Linked DNA regions of Stegostoma tigrinum. The protein of the gene in region 1 interacts with the protein of each later gene in a pairwise test. Links are inferred from orthologs where the notes say so. Each region holds a gene or a part of one and is shown on either strand. Other genes may lie near its edges.

What was found.
Region 2: the proteins of lmtk2 (region 1) and unconventional myosin-VI interact in a two-hybrid assay, tested with the Homo sapiens proteins (2 studies listed by BioGRID). The link is inferred for Stegostoma tigrinum from reciprocal best matches to the Homo sapiens genes LMTK2 and MYO6.

The regions. Positions count from the first base shown.
Region 1 is NC_081376.1:35,093,093-35,103,948, forward strand, and holds the start of lmtk2 (serine/threonine-protein kinase LMTK2), read left to right. Parts: upstream 1-5,655; 5' UTR 5,656-5,778; coding exon 5,779-5,863; intron 5,864-10,856. UniProt on the Homo sapiens protein: Phosphorylates PPP1C, phosphorylase b and CFTR.
Region 2 is NC_081362.1:28,015,319-28,026,315, forward strand, and holds the start of unconventional myosin-VI, read left to right. Parts: upstream 1-6,552; 5' UTR 6,553-6,680; intron 6,681-10,997. UniProt on the Homo sapiens protein: Myosins are actin-based motor molecules with ATPase activity. Unconventional myosins serve in intracellular movements. Myosin 6 is a reverse-direction motor protein that moves towards the minus-end of actin filaments.

The DNA of each region.
Region 1 (10,856 bases):
GGAACCCTGCAGCCCAATTGCATCAATGTGGACTTCACAAGCTTCAAAATCTCCCCCTCCCCCACTGCATCCCTAAACCAGCCCAGCTTGTCCCCTCCCCCCACTGCATCCCAAAACCAGCCCAGCTCGTCTACTCCTCCCTAACCTGTGTTTCCTCTCACCTATCCCCTCCTCCCACCTTATGCCGCACCTCCATTTCCCACCTGCTAACCTCATCCCGCCTCCTTGATCTGTCCATCCTCCGTGGACTGACCTATCCCCTCCCCACCTCCCCACCTATACTCTCCTCTCCACCTATCTTCTCCTCCATCCGTCTCTCTCCCTATTTATTTCAGAACCCTCTCCCCATTCCCCTCTCCGATGAAGGGTCTAGGCCCGAAATGTCAGCTTTTGTGCTCCTGAGATGCTGTTTGGCCTGCTGTGTTCATCCAGCTTCACACTTTGTTATCTTTATTGTGAATATGTTAAGTTTTGTTTCCAGTGCTTTTACAATTACAAAGAAGGAACTGACGGAGTTCCATGGCCCTCTAACGCCATCCTCGCTTGAAGTACTCATAATTCATATCTAACACTATATAGTACTGTGGTGACTATCGGACCAATCTTATCATTCTGATGATCACAAACGTACTGTTTTCAGCAAGGTCAGATAGAAATGAGGGCTGGGAAGCATGAATGATTCACCTCTGTGTAAAGCCCAGACTACTTAAACCAATGCAGTACTTCTGCAGTTGCTCTGCATGTAATCAACTAACTCAAAGACAGTGATTTAAAAACTTGGAATCTTCCTAACTGATGTGACTAACAATGAGATCTTGCATCTGTGTTGCAGCTTTAACATAATAGAACACCACCACACCCCAAAGCCTAATCCTGCCAAATGGATACAAAGCCAACAAAAGCACATATTAGCACTAGCAATCATCGGCTTGGTGAAACAGATAGATATCGAGGAGCATTTTAAAGCAGAAAAGGGTAAGGTGACGACCAAAATTTCTTGATGGCAAAGTTTTCCAAATATCCATTGTGAAAACTTGTAAACATATTTCAATCTAAACATAGCAACGTTATGTTAGAGGGCAGCCAAGGTATCATTATCTTCATTGGAGTATCCTTCAAGCCAAATTGCTCCATTAAAATAGATATAGGTCAATCACTACTGTGTGACAGTGACTGAATTTGACTTTCAAACAGCTTATATTGATGCTTGGCCCTGTTAGAAATCAACTGGTTTATTAGTCCATAATTATGAATCTCACATGAAGCATTTTGTTGATGTTGGCAAACCCATGAGACACTAATAGGTTTAAAATTTAATTATCCTTAACCTGAAATTCAGTCTTAACAACAGTTCTATTGCAGGATGTTTCTATTGCATTAATTTTATAAATACATAAATTTAAGTTTCTTAGAAAGATGGGTGGGAACCTGAGCTGTATACCGGAGGTGAGAGTTGATGCAGGTGAGGCAGTAGCAAGAGGTAGACCAGCTAGTGGGAAGGATTTTCCTGGGAAGGAACCAAGGGATCAGTTAAAGTGTGTTTGCTTTAACGCGAGGAGTATCAGGAATAAAAGTGATGAACTTAGAGCATGGATCAGTACCTGGTGCTATGATGTTGTGGCCATAACAGAGACATGGGTTTCTCATGGGCAGGAATGGTTGCTGGATGTTCCAGGGTTTAGAACATTTAAAAAGAATAGGGAGGGGGGAAAAAGAGGAGGGGGTGTAGCACTACTAATCAGAGAGGGTATCACAGCTACAGAAGCTTCCATTGTCGAGGAAGATCTGCCTACTGAGTCAGTCTGGGTGGAAATTAGGAACAGCAAGGGAGCAGTCACCTCGTTAGGGGTTTACTACAGGCCCCCCAATAGCAGCAGGGAGATTGAAGAAAGCATAGGTCGACAGATTTTGGAAAAGTGTGGTTGCAGTAGGGTTGTTGTAATGGGTGACTTTAACTTTCCTAATATTGATTGGAACCTGCTTCGAGCAGAAGATTTGAATGGAGCTGTATTTGTAAGGTGTGTTCAGGAGGGTTTCCTAACGCAGTACGTTGACAGGCCGACGAGGGGAGAGGCCATTCTAGACTTGGTGCTCGGAAACGAGCCGGGGCAGGTATCAGATCTTGTGGTGGGAGAGCATTTTGGTGATAGTGACCATAACTGCCTCACATTCTACATAGCTATGGAGAAGGAGAGGATTAGGCAAAATGGGAGGATATTTAATTGGGGAAGAGGAAACTATGACGCGATTAGACACGAGTTAGGAAGCACGGACTGGGAGCAATTGTTCCATGGTAAGGGAACTATAGACATGTGGAGACTGTTTAAGGAACAGTTGTTGCGAGTGATGAGTAAATATGTCCCTCTGAGACAGGCAAGAAGGGGTAAGATAAAGGAACCTTGGATGACGAGAGCGGTGCAGCTTCTTGTGAAAAGGAAGAAGGTAGCTTACATAAGGTGGAGGAAGCTAGGGTCAAGTTCAGCTAGAGAGGATTACTTGCAGGCAAGGAAGGAGCTCAAAAAAGGTCTGAGGAGAGCCAGGAGGGGGCACGAGAAAGGCTTGGCAGAAGGAATCAGGGAAAACACAAAGGCATTTTACACTTATGTGAGGAATAAGAGAATGGTCAAAGAAAGAGTAGGGCCGATCAGGGATAGCATAGGGAACTTGTGTGTGGAGTCTGAGGAGGTAGGGGAAGCCCTTAATGAGTTTTTTGCTTCTGTCTTTACGAAAGAAACGAACTTTGTAGTGAATGAAACCTTTGAAGAGCAGGTGTGCATGCTAGAATGGATAGAGATAGAGGAAGCTGATGTGCCGAAAATTTTGTCAAACATTAAGATTGACAAGTCGCCAGGCCCGGACCAGATTTGTCCTCGGCTGCTTTGGGAAGCGAGAAATGAAATTACTTCACCACTTGTGAAGATCTTTGCATCCTCTCTCTCCACTGGAGTCGTACCTGAGGACTGGAGAGAGGCAAATGTAATTCCGCTCTTCAAGAAAGGAAATAGGGAAATCCCCGGCAATTACAGACCAGTAAGTCTCACGTCTGTCGTCTGCAAGGTGTTAGAAAGGATTCTGAGGGATAGGATTTATGACCATCTGGAGGAGCATGGCTTGATCAAATACAGTCAACACGGCTTTGTGAGGGGTAGGTCATGCCTCACAAACCTTATCGAGTTTTTTGAGGATGTGACTAGAAAAGTTGATGAGGTTCGAGCTGTGGATGTGGTGTATATGGACTTCAGTAAGGCATTTGATAAGGTTCCCCATGGTAGGCTCATTCAGAAGGTCAGGAGGAATGGGATACAGGGGAACTTAGCTGCTTGGATAGAGAATTGGCTGGCCAACAGAAGACAGCGAGTGGTAGTAGAAGGAAAATATTCTGCCTGGAAGTCAGTGGTGAGTGGGGTTCCACAGGGCTCTGTCCTTGGGCCTCTAATGTTTGTAATTTTTATTAATGACTTGGATGAGGGGATTGAAGGATGGGTCAGCAAGTTTGCAGACGACACAAAGGTCGGAGGTGTCGTTGACAGTATAGAGGGCTGTTGTAGACTGCAGCGGGACATTGACAGGATGCAGAGATGGGCTGAGAGGTGGCAGATGGAGTTCAACCTGGATAAATGCGAGGTGATGCATTTTGGAAGGTCGAATTTGAAAGCTGAGTACAGGATTAAGGATAGGATTCTTGGCAGCATGGAGGAACAGAGGGATCTTGGTGTGCAGATACATAGATCCCTTAAAATGGCCACCTAAGTGGACAGGGTTGTTAAGAAAGCATATGGTGTTTTGGCTTTCATTAACAGGGGGATTGAGTTTAAGAGTCGTGAGATCTTGTTGCAGCTCTATAAGGCTTTGGTTAGACTGCACTTGGAATACTGCCTCCAGTTCTGGTCGCCCTATTATAGGAAAGATGTGGATGCTTTGGAGAGGGTTCAGAGGAGGTTTACCAGGATGCTGCCTGGACTGGAGGGCTTATCTTATGAAGAGAGGTTGACTGAGCTCGGTCTCTTTTCATTGGAGAAAAGGAGGAGGAGAGGGGACCTAATTGAGGTATACAAGATAATGAGAGGCATAGATAGAGTTGATAGCCAGAGACTATTTCCCAGGGCAGAAATGGCTAGCACGAGGGGTCATAGTTTTAAGCTGGTTGGTGGAAAGTATAGAGGGGATGTCAGAGGTGGGTTCTTTACACAGAGAGTTGTGAGAGCATGGAATGCGTTGCCAGCAGCAGTTGTGGAAGCAAGGTCATTGGGGTCATTTAAGAGACTGCTGGACATGCATATGGTCACAGAAATTTGAGGGTGCATACACGAGGATCAATGGTCGGCACAACATTGTGGGCTGAAGGGCCTGTTCTGTGCTGTACTGTTCTATGTTCTATGTTCTAATCACTGAATGCTTTTAAAAATTAATTAAAAATTACAAATAACGTTTTTTCTTATGGCAAGGTAGGTGCAAGGGAAATTTAAGAAATGTTGAAAATTAGGAAGGATTTTAATGGAATAGATAACAACTAAAATTTATATACAGCCTGTAATGATATAAAACATACCAGAGCGCTTTACTTGGGTCATATGAAACAAATTGTAGCACTGTGTTATATTACGACAGATGACCAAAGTTTGACCAAAGAGTTTGTTTATAAGGCAGGCCCCAAAGATGAAATTGAGATAGAGCAAAGAGGGAAAGAAATGAGGATCTAGGGGTTTGGAAGATGGTATGGTACTGGAGATTCAGTCATGTGATGGCGCAGATTTAAGATTGCTAAGAAAGCAATGGATAGATTAGAAGGACGATTTTTCAAAACAGTGCAGCTAATTGTTATGAATTGCACAATTAAAAAGAAAAAAAAACAGTGAAGCTATGTGGTAAAACCAGAGGAAGTTGGGCTAATTCCATTCAAAGAACTAGCATATAAAAAAACTTATTGTAAGGTTCTCTGTGAGGAGGAAATCAAGCCAGTCATATAATTTTCAACGCCTCGATCCAATTAACATTGAGTCACGTTAAGGGATGGCAGCAGTCATATTGTGAATACCTATTATAAGGTCGAGAAACAGTCCTGACCTCGAAGGATGTTACTCAATTACTAGGTCCTTAGCAACACACTCCAAGAGCCTGCCCCAAACTGCCCCTGCTTGTCTCCTGCGGTTGCTAGGCGAATGACGCAGACTCCCGGGGACGAGTCCGTCCATTACAGCCTTCAGCCCGGAATTCCCGCCCCTATCGTTGATTGGCTGCGCTTCCCAGGTCACAGAGGCGTCCAATTGGTCAGAGAGCGTTGTCAGTCACAGCGGAGGAGCGGAGCAGACTGTTTCCGGACGCGAGCAGGCATGATGGCGGCTGTGGGAAAATTGACGGGAGGTGGGAGGTTGTATCACTAGCGAAAGTGCAAATTAAAATAAAACCACCATCGTCGCACAGACAAAACAGATGAATGGAATGTTACCGACCGCGAGAATAATGGATTGGGGCTGGGATCTGGGAGAAAAATCGGTGTGGAGAGGCGTTCAAGGCCTGTGAGTAAGGATGAGTTTCTGTGGTCCGACTCCAGCGACTGTTTGCTGCCGAAAAATCCGAAAGAAAAGCTCCAGAAGGGGAGAGCGCGGCGGCCGGCCTGCTGTTGGTATTTAAAGGGACGGAGGGCGGGCGGGGAAGTGGGGAAGAGTTGAACGTTGACATCGGCTCGTATTGACGGCAAATCGGTCTGTTCGTATAAATGCTTCAGATTGATGATCTTTCGAGACCCTGACGACGACGAGCAGTCAATCCCAGCCGAGAATGGCGATACACGCCGGCAATCTCTTACTGACATTATTGGCATTGCGCAGCGTCCAAGGTGCTCCACTTCCGCAAACAGGTGCAGGTCAGTGCATTCGGGCATCAACTAAATAACAAAAGATTGGACGTAGCATATTAATCGTTTATGTCTTAAAAACATAACTCAGCTCTTGGGTTACGTACAGATAAGAAGCATTTTACTTCTACGGAAAGTGACGGGTACAACCGGTTTGTTTATTATGAAATTTCTCAATCTAGAATCAAAAGTGTACGTCATGTTGAGAGATGTAACCGGCTGCCTGCGAGTCTTAATTGTAATGTAATAGGATGGCATTGGACATCTAGGGTAGTATTGGAGTGCAGTACATTCTCTCAATAGAAGATAATCAGAGTTTCTTTCACGGGTTTTTTTTTCTGTGTCACACTGATTATTTATTCTAACGTTCGAATGTTTTAAGCTTACTGTTTTCAGAAGTGATTGCCTGCCATTTTGAAAAAAATTCATGGGAATGAAGTAATGCCATCTCTGCATTGTTAAAATTTATTCCATTGTTAAATTGAACTATGGAAACATTTGGGATAATTGAAATTAAATATATCATAGCTGTATCAAGGTTAGGTGCTAAAATCTATACTTTTAAAAATCAAAACGTGTACTTGTCAGTTCTGTGCTGTGCCTTGATTGAACTACATCTCACGATTTCAGTTGGTGCTTTAAACCGTGGGTTCAACAGAAATCCAACTTACCAATTCATGCATGTTTTATATTATTAGTTTTGAGTGCAAATGCAGTTGCTATATTTTGTTTCATTAATGGCAAATAAAGTTTAATTTGGATAAATGCTAGCTATTGCATTTTGGTAAAACAAACAGAATTAAAAATAGAATCTTGGACAGTGTTGTATAATGGAGACTGAGGTGTTCAGGTACATAATTTTTTGAAGTTTGCGTCACACATATATAGGGTGTTTAAAAAGGCGTTTAGCATGCTTTCCTTCATTGCCTCAGATTTGAATATAGGAGTTAGGAAGGTATGTTGATTAAACAGGATGTTGGTGAGGCCTCTTCAGGAGCACTGTGTCCATTACTGGTCTCCCTGTTACAGGAAGGATATTATTTAGCTGGAGAAGATTCAGAAGAGATTTATCAGGATTCTAGGATGGAGGGTTTGAGCTACAGGGAGAGGCTGGGACTCTTCACGGGAGCATAGGAGGTTGAGAGTTGACCTTATAGAGGTTTATAAAATCATGATGGGTACAGAATGGCAGGTGTCTTTTCCCTAAGGGCATTTAAATTTCTAGGGATTTAAAGACTAGGGGCATATTTTTACGATGAGTGGAGAAAAATTTAAAACAGACATGAAGGACAATTTTTACATAGGGTGGTTTTGTGTGTGGAATGAACTTGTGGTGGATGAGGGTATGGTTACAACCGTTAAAAGACATTTAGTTAAGTACTTGAATAAGAAATGTTTGGAAGGATGTGTGCCAAGGGAAGGCAGGTAGGACCAGTTTAGTTTGGAATTATGAACAGCATGGATTGGTTGGACCAAAGGATCTGTTTCTGCGCTGTATGACTCTAGTTATGAGAGAACTGGAACTGAAATTTTTGTGAACGGACTACGCAGCAGAACAGATGTTTTGGAAGTTTTTGCATTTTGAATCATGAAAACATTACAGAGATATACTTTAGTCATTCCCCAAATGTTCAGTACGCAATGGCTCTTGCATTTTGCATTTGAATGACAGTTCATGTTAAAATACCAGCAAGTAAATGGTATATGTTTTGATTAATAACATGACAAAACTCCATTTTGACTTGGATTGAGAGGAAGATCCTTTTCAGGAAAAGTTGATTCTCACGTGTCAATGGACTTTAAGGCAATAGTTTTCTTGTGCACCCTTGGTTTTGGGATGAATCTTAGTGGTTTAAAGAACAGTTGGAGGTGACAAAATATGTATAATCTTTCATTTAAATTGGTTTAATTTTAAATTTGGAGTCATAGCCTCAGATTGGCCTTTACCATTGGGAACTGTAACACTGAAAGCCTTTGTTTTAATCAAACAAAAAATCTGTGCAAGTCTATTCACTTTCTTTGTAGTCCTCTGTCTCGTATAAATATGATCAAAAAATGGTCTTGGTTAGATGTGGCTTTTTTAAAATTTCTTTGTAGTATTCATATTGTTAATTTAAAAAGGAAAAACGTTAGAATTCAAAGTGAGTAGGTTTCTTCAGAAAAAAACTGTTGACTTTGTCTAGGCTTTTGTGCTCCTGAGATGCTGCTTGGCCTGCTGTGTTCATCCAGCTTCACACTTTGTTATGTTGACTTTGTCCCTTCACTCCCACCGTCAACTGATAAAAATGCTCCTTTGCTGTTGTTGTCCTGGAGCACCTTTCCCTCAGGCAGTTGTATGCTGTGCTAGCACAATGGAGGCAGTGCTGGATCTCTTATTCAATGACTGTTTTAGTCGACAGGACGCTGCTGAGGTGTTGAAAGTGGACAGTGTTCTCTAAGGCCTCCCCATGAACTGTGATCAGGGGCTCACTTAGCAATGCTGGGCCAGGTTGTTGGAGGAGCTTCATTGTTTGGATGTTCGCTGAGACCCATGCTGTCATATGCCTCTGCAAAGTGCTGATGACGGTCTAGGCTTTGACCTCTGAGTTTGCACATATGCAAGCATCATCTGTGTACTATAGCTCGATGACACTAGCTGTGGTGATTTTGGTTTTGGCTTGAAGGTGGCGGAGGTCGAATAATTTTCTGCTGGTTCTGTAGATTAGCTGCACTCCATTGGAGAGTTTGGTGAGGTAAAGCATTGCAGTGAGGTAGATTGAGAACAGTGTTTGGGTGATGTAGGCCTCTTGGTACTGAATTGAACAGGGAATGGATCGGGGAGTGGAGCCATTTGTCACTACCATAACCTCCACACTGTTGTGGAATAGGCATAGAATGGTGACAAACTTTGTGTGTAGCCAAAGCAGAGGATGCTTCATAATTCTTCCTAGTTGAAGGCGTCGAAGGCCATGTACATGGGTCGATTCTTTTCTCTGCATTTTTCATGCAGCTGTCACAGGGTGAAAATCATGTCCATTGTGTCCCTGCATGGCCAGAAGCAACATTACTGCAGGGAGGAAATGATTGAGGGGAGGAACTTGGCGATGATTTTTCCAATGATTGTCGGCACCACAGTCATTACACAGTCGCACTTATTTCATTTTTGGAAATCGCTCAAGATTATGGCGTTTTGGAGTTATCCTGGGATGCTGTCCTCTTTCCAGATCAGACAGATAAAGGCGTGTAGCCGCAGCAGGAAGTCATTGTCTCTATACTTCAGTGCCTCAGTGGGGATGCCATTTGCTCCAACAGCATTGTTGTTCTTGACCTTGTGGAAGGCTTTCTATACTTAATGTGCAGCCGGAGTGTTGCTGACCTCATGCTGTCTAGCGTGCTGTGGGATGTGGTCAAGATTGCTTGGATTGATGACAGAGCCTTGGTTGAGGAGGTCTTTGACATGCTTCCCTCATGCTGTTTGATGGTTTCTTTGTCTTTGAAAAGATTCACTCCTCAGCCAGCAGGGGTTTGGGGTCTTGGGTACTTGGTCGATAGGTGTTCATACTAGCACTGGAGAAACCCTGCATATTATGGTAGTCAGCCATTTGTTGGGCCTCCATCTGTTTTTTATATTATAGATTTGTTGTTGGACCCCAGTCTTTGGTCGCCTGTCGGCCTCCCATTTTTCTTTGGCGTGCAGTTGCAGTTTTACACACAGAAATTCCCCGTACTTCTGGCTTGAAAATTCTTGAATCTCCTGTTCATTCTTGTCAAACAAGTCTTGATGTTTCCTGGTTCAGTGACTGGTCGAGTTCTTGCAGCCATTAATGATAGTGTCCTTGAGGGGGACCAGAGGCTGTTGGAATCCCACAACTCAGTGTCACCAAGGATCACTAAATTTGTGAGGGGAGTTATTTGTATGAAGCTGTCTTTTCCAAAATCTTGAGTGCCTCAATGTTAAACTTCGTGCCGGGCTATATTTTTGTTGATTCTGGCTTGGATCTGGTGATTGACTGCCAACAGTTGTCGGCGTAGGTGATTTTAAAGTCTTTGCAATTGCTTGCTTTAATGATGATGTAGTCATGGTGCTATTGTTTGTCCTTTTGGTGGAACAGTAAGTTGGTGATGAAGATGTGTTCACAGCATTTGGTTGGGGGATGGGTGCCATTGGGATTTTGTTTGCTTACCTCCACTTCCCCAATTACAAGGTCCCAGAGGACTGCTCTTTGCTTTTGGTGTTGAAATCACTGAGGACGATTTAGTTTGTCTGCTGTGGGGACCTGAGAGAGAGGGAGAGAGAGAGAGTTGTCAAGGCTGGAGTGGAATTCCTCCTTGTCCTCAGTTGCTGTATATGCACTGAATATCTTGATGTACTGGCTCTGAGCTAGGCTGAGTTAGTGTGACATGAGGCATTTGCATATTCCGGCGAATCTTTGTGTTGGTCCATCAGTTCATTTTTGATAACGAAACTGACTCTAGGGATGTACTTTTCTCTGGCTTTTCCTTTCCAGATAAAGGTGTAGCCATCACCTTGTTTCCTGAGCTGTCCTTCCCATACCTGTGGGGTATCACTCAGGGCAGCAATGCCAGGATAGTAGTGCCTGAGTTCCTGGGCAACAGTGGCAGCTCAGCACTCTGGTCTGTCACTGGCAGCACTCGCCATAAGTGTCCTGACATTTCAGGTTCCAAATTTCATCCTGAGGGTGTGGAAGGTCTCCCTGTGAAAGTTCTTTTAATGTGGAGAAACCGTTGCACGCCGGCTACCACAGGCAGGCACAAGGCCCTGATCCAGTGACAAGGGGGTGCCAAGACAACTGGACACTAACTTAGATTACCTGTGGTGGAGTGCAGACAAACAATTCAGTGTGGGCAGTATCTCCTGGATTAGTGTGAGGTCCGAGGTGAGCGGTGTGTGAAGAAGAAGAAGACGGAAAGGACAGCATGGCTGCTGCCATTGTGCTGGTCATTCTCTGTCTGTGATTGTAAAATCACTGGGCTGGGGCTGGGGGAGCTTATAGAAACACCA
Region 2 (10,997 bases), on another chromosome or scaffold:
TGCAGGTACTTGCAGGTAGAGTCCGTAATTAAGAAGCGAATGTAATGTTGTTGTTTATCTCAAGAGGGTTGGAATATAAAAGCAGCGATGTGCTTCTGAGGCTTTATAAGGCTCCAGTTAGGCCCCATTTAGAATACTGTGTCCAATTTTGGGCCCCACACCTCAGGAAGGACATACTAGTCCTGGAGCATGTCCAGCGGAGATTCACACGGATGATCCCTGGAATGGTAGGTTTAACATATGATGAATGGCTAAGGATCCTAGGATTGTACTCATTAGAGTTTAGAAGGTTGAGGGGAGATCTAATAGAAACTTACAAGATAATGTATGATTTAGAAGGGGTGGACGCTAGGAAGTTGTTTCTGTTAGGCGGGGAGACTAGGACCCGTGGGCACAGACTTAAAATTAGTGGGGGTAAATTTAAAACTGAAATGAGATGACATTTCTTCAGCCAGAGAGTGGTGGGCTTGTGGAATTCATTGCCGCAGAGTGCAGTGGAGGCCGGGACGTTGGATGCCTTCAAGGCAGAGATCGACAAAGTCTTGATCTCAAAAGGAATCAAGGGCTACGGGAGAGTGCTGGGAAGTGGTGTTGAAATGCTCATCAGCCATGATTTAAATGGCGGAGTGGACTTGATGGGCCGAATGGCCTTACTTCCACTCCTATGTCTTATGGTCTTATGGTCTTAATCTCCCTTTCTTGTCACATTTTGCTTAATGTGTGATTACTTGTTTGACCTAGACTAAGCAAACATCGATATCTAACCTCAACATCTGTCATGTCCCTCTCCTTGGCGAATACCGATGCAAAGTACTTGTTAAGAATGTCACCCATTTTCTCTGACTCAGTGCATAACTTTCCTTCTTTGTCCTTAAGTGGGCCAATCCTTTCTCTAGTTACCCTCTTGCTCTTTATATATGAATAAAAGACTTTGGGAATCAGGAACAAAAACAAGATTTCAGGTCCAGTGACCCTTATGCAGAACTGGGGATCAGACTGACCTATCCCCTCCCTACCTCCCCACCTATACTCTACTCTCCACCTATCTTCTTTTCTCTCCATCTTCGGTCCGCCTCCCCCTGTCTCCCTATTTATTCCAGAACCCTCACCCCATCCCCCTCTCTGATGAAGGGTCTAGGCCCGAAACGTCAGCTTTTGTGCTCCTGAGATGCTGCTTGGCCTGCTGTGTTCATCCAGCTTCACACTTTATTATCCACTGCAATTTACTTCTTTTAACCGTTTGCTTCTTAGCTGTTCATCCCCATAGCAACCACAGGTCATGGACATTTATTGGAAACTCATCCTAACAAATTAATAATCTTTCAGCATACACTCTTGATTAATTTTAGTCTTAAAGGTACACCTCACAAAAGAAATTATAGGCATTGCTCGACATAAGGGTTCTCACATTCCCAGTGCTTTTAAGATGTAATACAACATTTGCAGTGGTGATACAATGGATGTATTACATCACTTCTGTTGACATTCATCAGTGTGAGCATTGTTAACAAAACCAATATTTGTTGCTCATTCCTAGTTGTTTTTGAGATGGAAATGGCAAGCTGCCTTCTTGAATTATTGCAGTCCATGAGGTGAAGGTACTTACACAGTGCTATAAGTGTTTTCTTAAGAAGGGTCCAGACCCAAAACATCAGCTTTCCTGCTCCTCTGATGCTGCCTGGCCTGGTACAAGTGTTGTACTTTAAGAAATTTTACTAGACAATGATTAAATAATAACAAAGTATTTCTGAATCAGGATGATTAGAAAAACACTTGTAAGTAGTTGTATTCCACTGCTTTTGCTGTCACTTTCCTTCCAGATAATAAATCTCATGAGATTGGCTGGTTCTGTGGGAAGTGCCATGGTGAGTTGTTGTTGTGTATCTTGTAAATGACACTGAAACCAGAGTGCCCAGAGAGATTGGAGTGTGGGGGGCTGTGTGTGTGCACATTGAGTGAACATTTAAATAATGGATGTGCCAGCCACGGATGACTGCTTTGCCCTAAACAGTGTTGTGTTTCCTGGATATTGTTGCAATGTCATTCATCTTGTGAAATATATTTTACCTCATTCTTTCCTTTTTCTTTGCAGATAGTAGAAATGTTTTGAGGAGTCAGGAGATGAACCTGTTTTTGCATAATGTCCACTGGTTCTTGTGGCCACAGCATTTATTCATTGGTCCAGTTGAGTTTAGGTCAGTGGTAATTACAGGATATTGATGGGGAGGGACACTGTGATAATAAGATTATAGATCATGGAGAGATGGATTAGATTTTTTGTTGAAGTTGGCCATTACCTGGCAACAATGTGATGCAAATGTTACTTGCATTGTACCTTTAAAATGAAAATGAATCTAGAATGTATTAGCACAATCCTGGAGGATGTTCAGGTTTGCCTACATTTACTAATGAATTGCTGTCAGAGGTAGAGCATGTGGTGCATCATTCCCAGTGTTATGGATCAGACTAAAGCCCTTCAAGATATATTAAGACGATAGCCTAGACCATAACTTTTTCTTATTTCAAGTACCAGGTATTGTGTTACAGATCTAATTCGATTGGTCAAACTTCTAGTCTTGAAGCAAAACACATTTCATTTATACACTGTAATTAATATACTACCAAAGGAAGAAAAAAATTGAAATAACGTAATTATGCTGGAAAACTTAACAGAATAATAGATTATTTAACTACGAAACAGTGACTGTTTCAACATAGTAACATCTCATAAACACACTCTTAGCAAAGGAAAATTCAGTAAAATAGATTGTCTCACATGCAATTCTCTAATCCAGCAGGAAAATCATCAAGACAAAACCCTAAGAGAGAGAGAGAGAGACCAAGTTGCAGGGAGAGATGTACTGCAGCTTCCAAACCCAACTTCAAGACCCCAGCAACTGCTACAAGCTAAAACTAAAAATCCTGGTTCTGTGGAAGCTTGACCCCAGCCATTCAGGCTGCTTTTATTGTTCCAACTTAAAAAAAGTGCCTCACAAGCTGTTTAATTTATTGGATTCAAACAGACAGCTTGATACCTCTGTCTTAAAACATGTCTTCAAAACAAAAAGGACAAAATGTACCTCTTAAAGCCATAGTATCATCACACTAGTGGCAGTGATACAGGATACATAGTACTATTTTGAGTGTTACAAATTGAAGCTCAATGTAGCTCTCTGTTGTTTCTGAATCAGAAGGTTAAGGTTTAAGTTCCACTCCACGGACTTGAGTGCAAAATACTGTTCAATACACAAATACTGTATTGAAGGAGTGCTGTGTAGCCTAACTGCTGCGATGTTAAACCAAGGCCCCAACTGCCATCATGGGTAAAACTCCCATGATACCACTTTGACGAACCAAAGGAAATCTCTCCTGGAATTCTTGGAAAATATTTATCCATCAACTAACATGAATGAAACAGATTATCATTTAATAAGGTATCACACATAAGGCTACTTAATAAGATGAGCTCATTGTGATGGGAGTAATGTGTTAGTATTGATAGTGAATTGGTTAACTATTGAAGACAGATTTGGGATAAAAGGAGCATTTTCAGGATGGCAACCTGTGACAACTGGAGTGCCAAAGGGAATAGTGCTAAGGCCACAATTATTTATATGTATATGATTTGGAAGAAGGAAGTAAATGTATTATTGCCAAGTTTGTACATGACATAAAATAGGTGAGAAGGCAAGTAGTGAGGATGACACAATGAGCCCACAATTTAAGTGAGTGAGCCAAAATTTGGAAATGGAACATGATTGCAGATTATCCATTTTCGCAGGAGGAAGAACAGGGCTGAATTTTATTTAATAGGGAAAGACTGCAGAGCGTGCAGAACAGACGGATTTGGAGTCCTTGGACATGAATCACAAAAAGCTAACTCATTTGTTCAGTTGGTAAAAGAGAATGCAAATTCACTATTGGCTTTATTTCTAAGGGAATGGCATGTAAAATAGAGAACAAAAACAGAAAATGCTGGAGAAACTCAATAGGTCTGGCATCATCTGTGGAGAGAATATCAGAATTGAATCCAGTGACCCTTTGTCAGAGTTCTCCATTACTTCCTACTTTTGTTTCAGGTCTCCAGCATTTGCAGTTCTTTATTCTAAAAATAGAGAGGTCTTTCTAAAACCATATAAGGCACTGTTCAGGCCACATCTGGAATACTGTGATCATTTTTGGTCCACTTATTAAAGACGCGAGATACAATAATTGGAGACAGTCCAGAGAAGGTTCACTAGGTTAATTCTGGGTATTGAGGGTCTTTTTTACGACAAGAGGTTAAGTAAGTCGAACTTGTACTCACTGGGCTTTAGAAGAAGAGACCTTATTGAAACATATAGGATTATGGGATCTTGAAGGATAGTTTCCCTCATGAGACAATCCAGGGCTAGAGGGCATAATCTCAGGATAAGAGGTTGCCATTTAAATTAGAGATGAGGAGAACTTTTTCTCTGAGGGTAATCACTCCAGGGAGTTCTTTACACCACAAAGGGCTGTCGAAGCTGGGTCTTTAAACATATTTAAGGCTAAGGCAGGCATATTTTTCACCAGTCAGGAAATCAAAGATCATGGTAATGAAGCCGGAAAATAGAGTTGAGGATTATCAGATCAGCCATGATCTGATTGAATGGCAAAGTGAACACAATGTCCCAAATGCTTCTATGTCTTTCATCCTTATCTGATCCTAATTTCAGTGTTGTTTGAAGAATATTTCTACGCACTAAGTGTATGTTACACCACTAGCTAGGCTAGAATTTTGTGCCCATCTCTAATTACTTGACTTAATCAGCGGCCTGTTTAAATGGCTGCAGTCTATCTGTTGCAGGTATTAGGAATGGTGTTCTTGGATTTTGAGCCAGCAGCAGTGAAGGAATGGTGAGATATCTCAAGTCAGAACGGCATGTCTTAGGGGAAAATTTGCAGGTGCTGGTGTTCCCAGGCATTTGCTTTTCCGTTCCTTCTAGGTGGCTGAGGTTATCTGTTCGGAAGATGGATTGAAGGAAACTTGGTTAATGTTCTGCGATATATCTCGTAGATGGTACTCACTGCTGCCATTGTTTGTTGATGGTTCAGCCATTGTTTGTTGACGGTTCAGCAAGTGAATTTTTAAGATGGTGAATGTTGTGTTGAACAAGCAAGCTGTTTTGTCCTGAATAGTATCAGAGATAATGGGAACTGCAGATGCTGGAGAATTCCAAGATAATAAAATGTGAGGCTGGATGAACACAGCAGGCCAAGCAGCATCTCAGGAGCACAAAAGCTGACGTTTCGGGCCTAGACCCTTCATCAGAGAGGGGGATGGGGAGAGGGAACTGGAATAAATAGGGAGAGAGGGGGAGGCGGACCGAAGATGGAGAGTAAAGAAGATAGGTGGAGAGAGTATAGGTGGGGAGGTAGGGAGGGGATAGGTCAAGGAGGTGGGATGAGGTTAGTAGGTAGCTGGGGGTGCGGCTTGGGGTGGGAGGAAGGGATGGTTGAGAGGAAGAACCGGTTAGGGAGGCAGAGACAGGTTGGACTGGTTTTGGGATGCAGTGGGTGGGGGGGAAGAGCTGGGCTGGTTGTGTGGTGCAGTGGGGGGAGGGGACGAACTGGGCTGGTTTAGGGATGCAGTAGGGGAAGGGGAGATTTTGAAACTGGTGAAGTCCACATTGATACCATATGGCTGCAGGGTTCCCAGGCGGAATATGAGTTGCTGTTCCTGCAACCTTCGGGTGGCATCATTGTGGCAGTGCAGGAGGCCCATGATGGACATGTCATCTAGAGAATGGGAGGGGGAGTGGAAATGGTTTGCGACTGGGAGGTGCAGTTGTTTGTTGCGAACTGAGCGGAGATGTTCTGCAAAGCGGTCCCCAAGCCTCCGCTTGGTTTCCCCAATGTAGAGAAAGCCGCACCGGGTACAGTGGATGCAGTATACCACATTGGCAGATGTGCAGGTGAACCTCTGCTTAATGTGGAATGTCATCTTGGGGCCCGAAACGTCAGCTTTTGTGCTCCTGAGATGCTGCTTGGCCTGCTGTGTTCATCCAGCCTCACATTTTATTATCTTGTCCTGAATAGTGTTGAGCTTCGAGTGATGTTGCAGCTGCACCCATCCAATATCACATTCCTGACTAGAGGATTGTAGACAGTGGGCAGGCACAGTGAACTCGCTATGAGCGGGATTATTTTTGAAAAGTTAATTGTGAAAGTCTTTGGGATGCCCTTACGATGAAAGGCGCTGTTCTCTGCAGTATCTGACAGACCGTGCATATCATGTGTTCTCACTGACCGTGTTCATTGTGTTACTGGGGGCCTCTCCGTCTCTGAGGGCCATCACCGTGACGTTGATCGTCCCAGGGCCACGAACATCGGATCACCAGGACCACAGGGACGGAGAACAGGAATATCGGCACCCACACCGGGCACAGGTGGGTGGGTGTGTCGGGGGGAGTATGGAGCACGAAGATCCACACTAGGAGGAGCAAGCACTAGGGCTGGGGGCAGGATCTAGCCACACAGCGGGTATGGGCGGGGGTAGAGAAAGAGGCGGAGCACCGGGAGCCGCGCAGGGGGAGGAGCGTTAGGACTGAGCAGGATCTGGAGACGCAGCGGGAACAAAGGGGAGGAGCACCAGGACGAGTCCTGTGGCTATCGAGGGGAAACAGACTTTCTGCAACGGCACTGGTAAACAGTTGACGGTAAGAGTCGGGGGGCGACTGAGGTTAAATGAGTAAGAGGGTCGGGCGTGTTGACAGCGAATGGGGAAAACTGTGCAGTGATTGTGGGTAGGTGTTTTAGGAGTGAAAGTGGGTGAGGTTGAAGGGTTTAGGGTACCAGGGGCCTGGTCTCCATGGTAAGATGTTGTGGAAAGGACGCCACGACCGGATCCACCGCTCAACTGGAACTAGTTTGGATGAAGAGTCTTTTCCATACCCGGGTGGAGCGGGATGGAGGAAAAAGTGGGGGTTTGGGGTTTGTAGAGAGTCCTTTCCCTGTTTGAGTGTTCCCGGCCCATTCTCTCAGTGAAAGGAAGGAGGTAGGGAGTTATGTCGATTCCGAACTACTTATGGATTCGGGCTGCTCGAGTCCCGAAGAGAGCTGTGAGCTGAGTTTGTTTTTATGACCTCTCCCGGAGCCCTTTTCGGACTGTATCCTGTTTCGTGCAGGAAACTAGAGATTCCCCCGGAAAATGGCTAGGTGGGAATCCTGTCTGGTTGTTTCCCGGTTGTTTTCTGGTTGTTGAATGACCAGCAGCTGCTTCCATTCCTGAATGTCTTTATATTTAAATCGCTTTCGATTTCGACTGGGTATTATCGTTTCGATATTTCGAATAGTTTCGCCTTTAAGCTGGTTGTTTTCTTATTCGCTTGTACTGCCCTTGTTTAAATCTCTGTTGATCCGCACAGCCCCATTTCCGAATGGTGGCGTCTAAGTTGAACAGACAGTAGATTAATGGACCAAGCGAAAATGTTGTTTTTCTCCCTTCGCGCTTACAATAAATACGCTGCTTCCTTATCAAAACAGCTTCACGCAAAATATCGAACGAAAATAAGTTGCTGGAAAAACTCAGGTCTGGCAATATCTGTTAAGACAAATCAGAGTTAAAGTTTCGGGTCCGGTTACTTCCTGAGAAATATGAGATCAGACCTGAAATATTAACTCTGACTTTTCTTCACAGATGTTGCCAGACTTGCTGAGCTTTTCCAGCAACTTTATTTGGGCCCCAATTTACAGCGTCCGCAGTTCTTCCGTTTTATCAAACAAGATACTGTTTGATCAACATCGATATTTCTAGTGAGATTGCTGTTCTCTGTGCGTATCGTAATCAATTTGTACTACCGGGAGTGTGAGACGACAACATTTTAAACGTCTTTTCTCATATGGTTGACCTATCAAAATTCTGCGTGATTGGTGAATGTTTTCTTGTCCTCCTAGCTATTAATCGTTCCTGATGAAATGCTATTTTAGTCCGTGCTTTGAGGGATTCTCCAAAAGTTTTTAAGTTTAACGTTATTAACCATTTATATAGTTTCCTGTGGCGAGGGTCCTGTTTCTGATATCTAGCTTGTTTTAGTTTTGGGTTATCCTCAGTCGGCGAAGGTTTACGAAGAGTAGGTACCACACAGAACTGCAAGGGAAAATGGAGCTTTGTTTTCTGGTTTGAGGAAATTCTAACGTGCTCAATCCCTCCCTGATACCTGTTTTTAACAGGTTTTGTTTGAAGCAGCAAATAATGTGATTGGATTTGTTTATCTTTGTAAATAACTAATTTGTGCATCACTTATGGAGTAAATGTTAAATCTACATTAAATAATCTGGCGTCAGGAACTGATTGACCAACTTTCATATCTCTGGTTGTGAGCAGTTTTTGTTTGACTTGGATTAAATATCATAGTATGATAAATTGCTGTTACTTTTCCAGAGCAGTATATTATTTTGTGTAAATTATATTATGTAAATATTGAAATAGAATATGGTCACAATTGTGATTATTTTGTTCAACTAAGGTGTATGGATTCTAAAGGTGGTTTAGTGGTACTAGTTGAAACAACTAAATTGTGCTGCCTATAATATAAAATCAAAGGATATTTTATAAATACCTCACTACTTTAGTGAACACGTCTCTGAACAGCTGTAAAATAACCAGTGCAAACCTTTTACACAAGATAAGAGGTGGAATCTGCAGAAGGATGTACTGTGCACTGTTTTCAATTGAAAATAAGTATTTGATGTAAGGTTAAAAGAAGGTAACATCAACGGTTCATTTATGCGTGCCTTTTTGAACTGGAAGACTTTAACACACAGGTTCTTCCACAAGCCTTCCAGTTTCATTGAGGCATGCACTGATGCATTAAAATAATAGATGATTTGTTGATAAATTGAGACGTTGATTTGGAATGGGAAAATGAAAGGAATGATATCACGGAATGACTGCAGATGTCATGTCATGTGTACATGATTAGAAAATGTTTAGGTTTAGCGAGGTGACACAAGTAAGATTCAACTTATAAATAAAGTAGTTGAATGTTTGAATATGTTCAAATAATAGAATTGATGTTATGTTATTTAATAGATGATGCAGTCTGGTCGCTGCTGTCATGGAGATTTGAAGGCTAATGATTTTCTATAATTCACAAAAAGAAGATTGCCTGCTTACTAATAAGTGATTAGAATACATTTTAAATTGGTTCATGATGTGAGAGATTTCACTGCTGCCCATTCTAAAAAATATATATAGTGTTTTTAAGTCCTAGTAGTACCAATCTAAATACCTGTTGTTCTGTTCATCAGAATGAAAGAAATGAAGAACTAAAAAATTTGAATCCATCCACTTGAAGTGTGACACTCTGATATTTCATTCTTAAAAGCTTGTGTTGTATTGCAGACTTTGTAACATGAGGTTAATGTGTATATTTGAATTGCGTCTAAAATAATTAATAAAGACCATTGTAATGTGATATTATCCAATTTTCTATATTTTTTCTGTCTATTTGTTCACATCAATAACATGGCTGATCTGAGGATGGTGCAAATCACAGTCTCAACGCATGGCTAAAACTTGTATTCTCACCCCAAAGTAGCAAAATCTTGTTCTCCGTTAATTGGAATAATTAATTGAGTTAACCTGCACACAATTCATGGTGCGCACAAAAGATTTGCACTTTTGCCTTTTGTGCATTAATGTTGTATCATTGCATCCAATTTATGCACAAATTCTCTCAATGTATTTTAAATAAATAAGGGATAAATGCTCGCTATGTCACTGGGGAGAACTCTTCTGCTGTTTGATTAATGCCATGGATTCCTTTACATTACTCTGGAAGGGAAAGTGCATTTTAGGCTTGAAGTCTCAACTGAAAGACGTATCTCCCTGTGCTGAATGCCAGTCTGGACTGTTTCCTGAAGTTGGTTTTTTTTTTGACACTTTTTTTTAAGCTGTTTTCTATTGACTAGTAAAATGAGTCTTGAATCTACAATTTTTGTTTAAACCCAGAAGTAAGAATGCCAGTAATTGAACCATGGCTAGCATACTGTTAATCACACTATACCTGGAGTAAAGATGAATATATTTAACACTGATTCTGTTGTAATACAGCCTCATTCTGTAATCGCTGACCTGAAACAAGAACAATGAAGGTAGTGCTCTCCATCCACCTTGCTTCAATCACTTAGACCTTCATGCTGATTTGTACCTCAAGTATAACATGGGGCTTGATTAATTTGGGAGGGCACTGGTACCAAAAAAAATCCTCTCCTCTTTGTTTAACTGTAGCCACAGCAACAAAATTTCAGAGGATGCTCCTCGTTTTGGTTTACCATAGAAAGCATTGGTGTGGCAAATTCATTGCAAATAGATGATTGAGATAGACACACCACACTGTGGTGTCCATTTTTCCTTCTACAGGGAGTGCTGGCTGTAGTATTTCCATGTAATGTATAGCAATCCCAAAATAAATATTATGAAATAAATGCATTTCTGAAGAAGGGTCTAGGCCTGAAACATCAGCTTTCCTGCTCCTCTGCTGCTTGGCCTGCTGTGTTCATCCAGCTCTGCACCTTGTCATCTTAAGTATTGTGATCATGACTTTAATGTAAATGTATAAACATTTACATGTTTCAAAAGGGCAAAAACTTTGGAAACATTCAAACTTTATAATATATCTGTCCTTATTCAGAGTGTAATAGACTTATACTTGGAATTATAGTTTGCAATTGCAACATTATATGTAGAAATGCTGCAGTTACCCTGAGCTATCAAGTAATACTTGGTGGACAGACAAAATATAATGAAGTGATTTATTTTGTCTCTATTGGTTTTCTGTGTTGGAGCATGTTATGAGGAGTATCTTTTGAGTTCTCTTTCAGGAAAATAAAATAACTCTGAGAAATATTTCCTTTATTTTTTAGGTTATCTTTTGAACAATCAGAGTTGGCCTTTACAATGCACCTGGAGTCCCAGGCACTGACTCTAGTGATTGCATGATGCTTTTGTGTTGTATGCACTAATCATGACA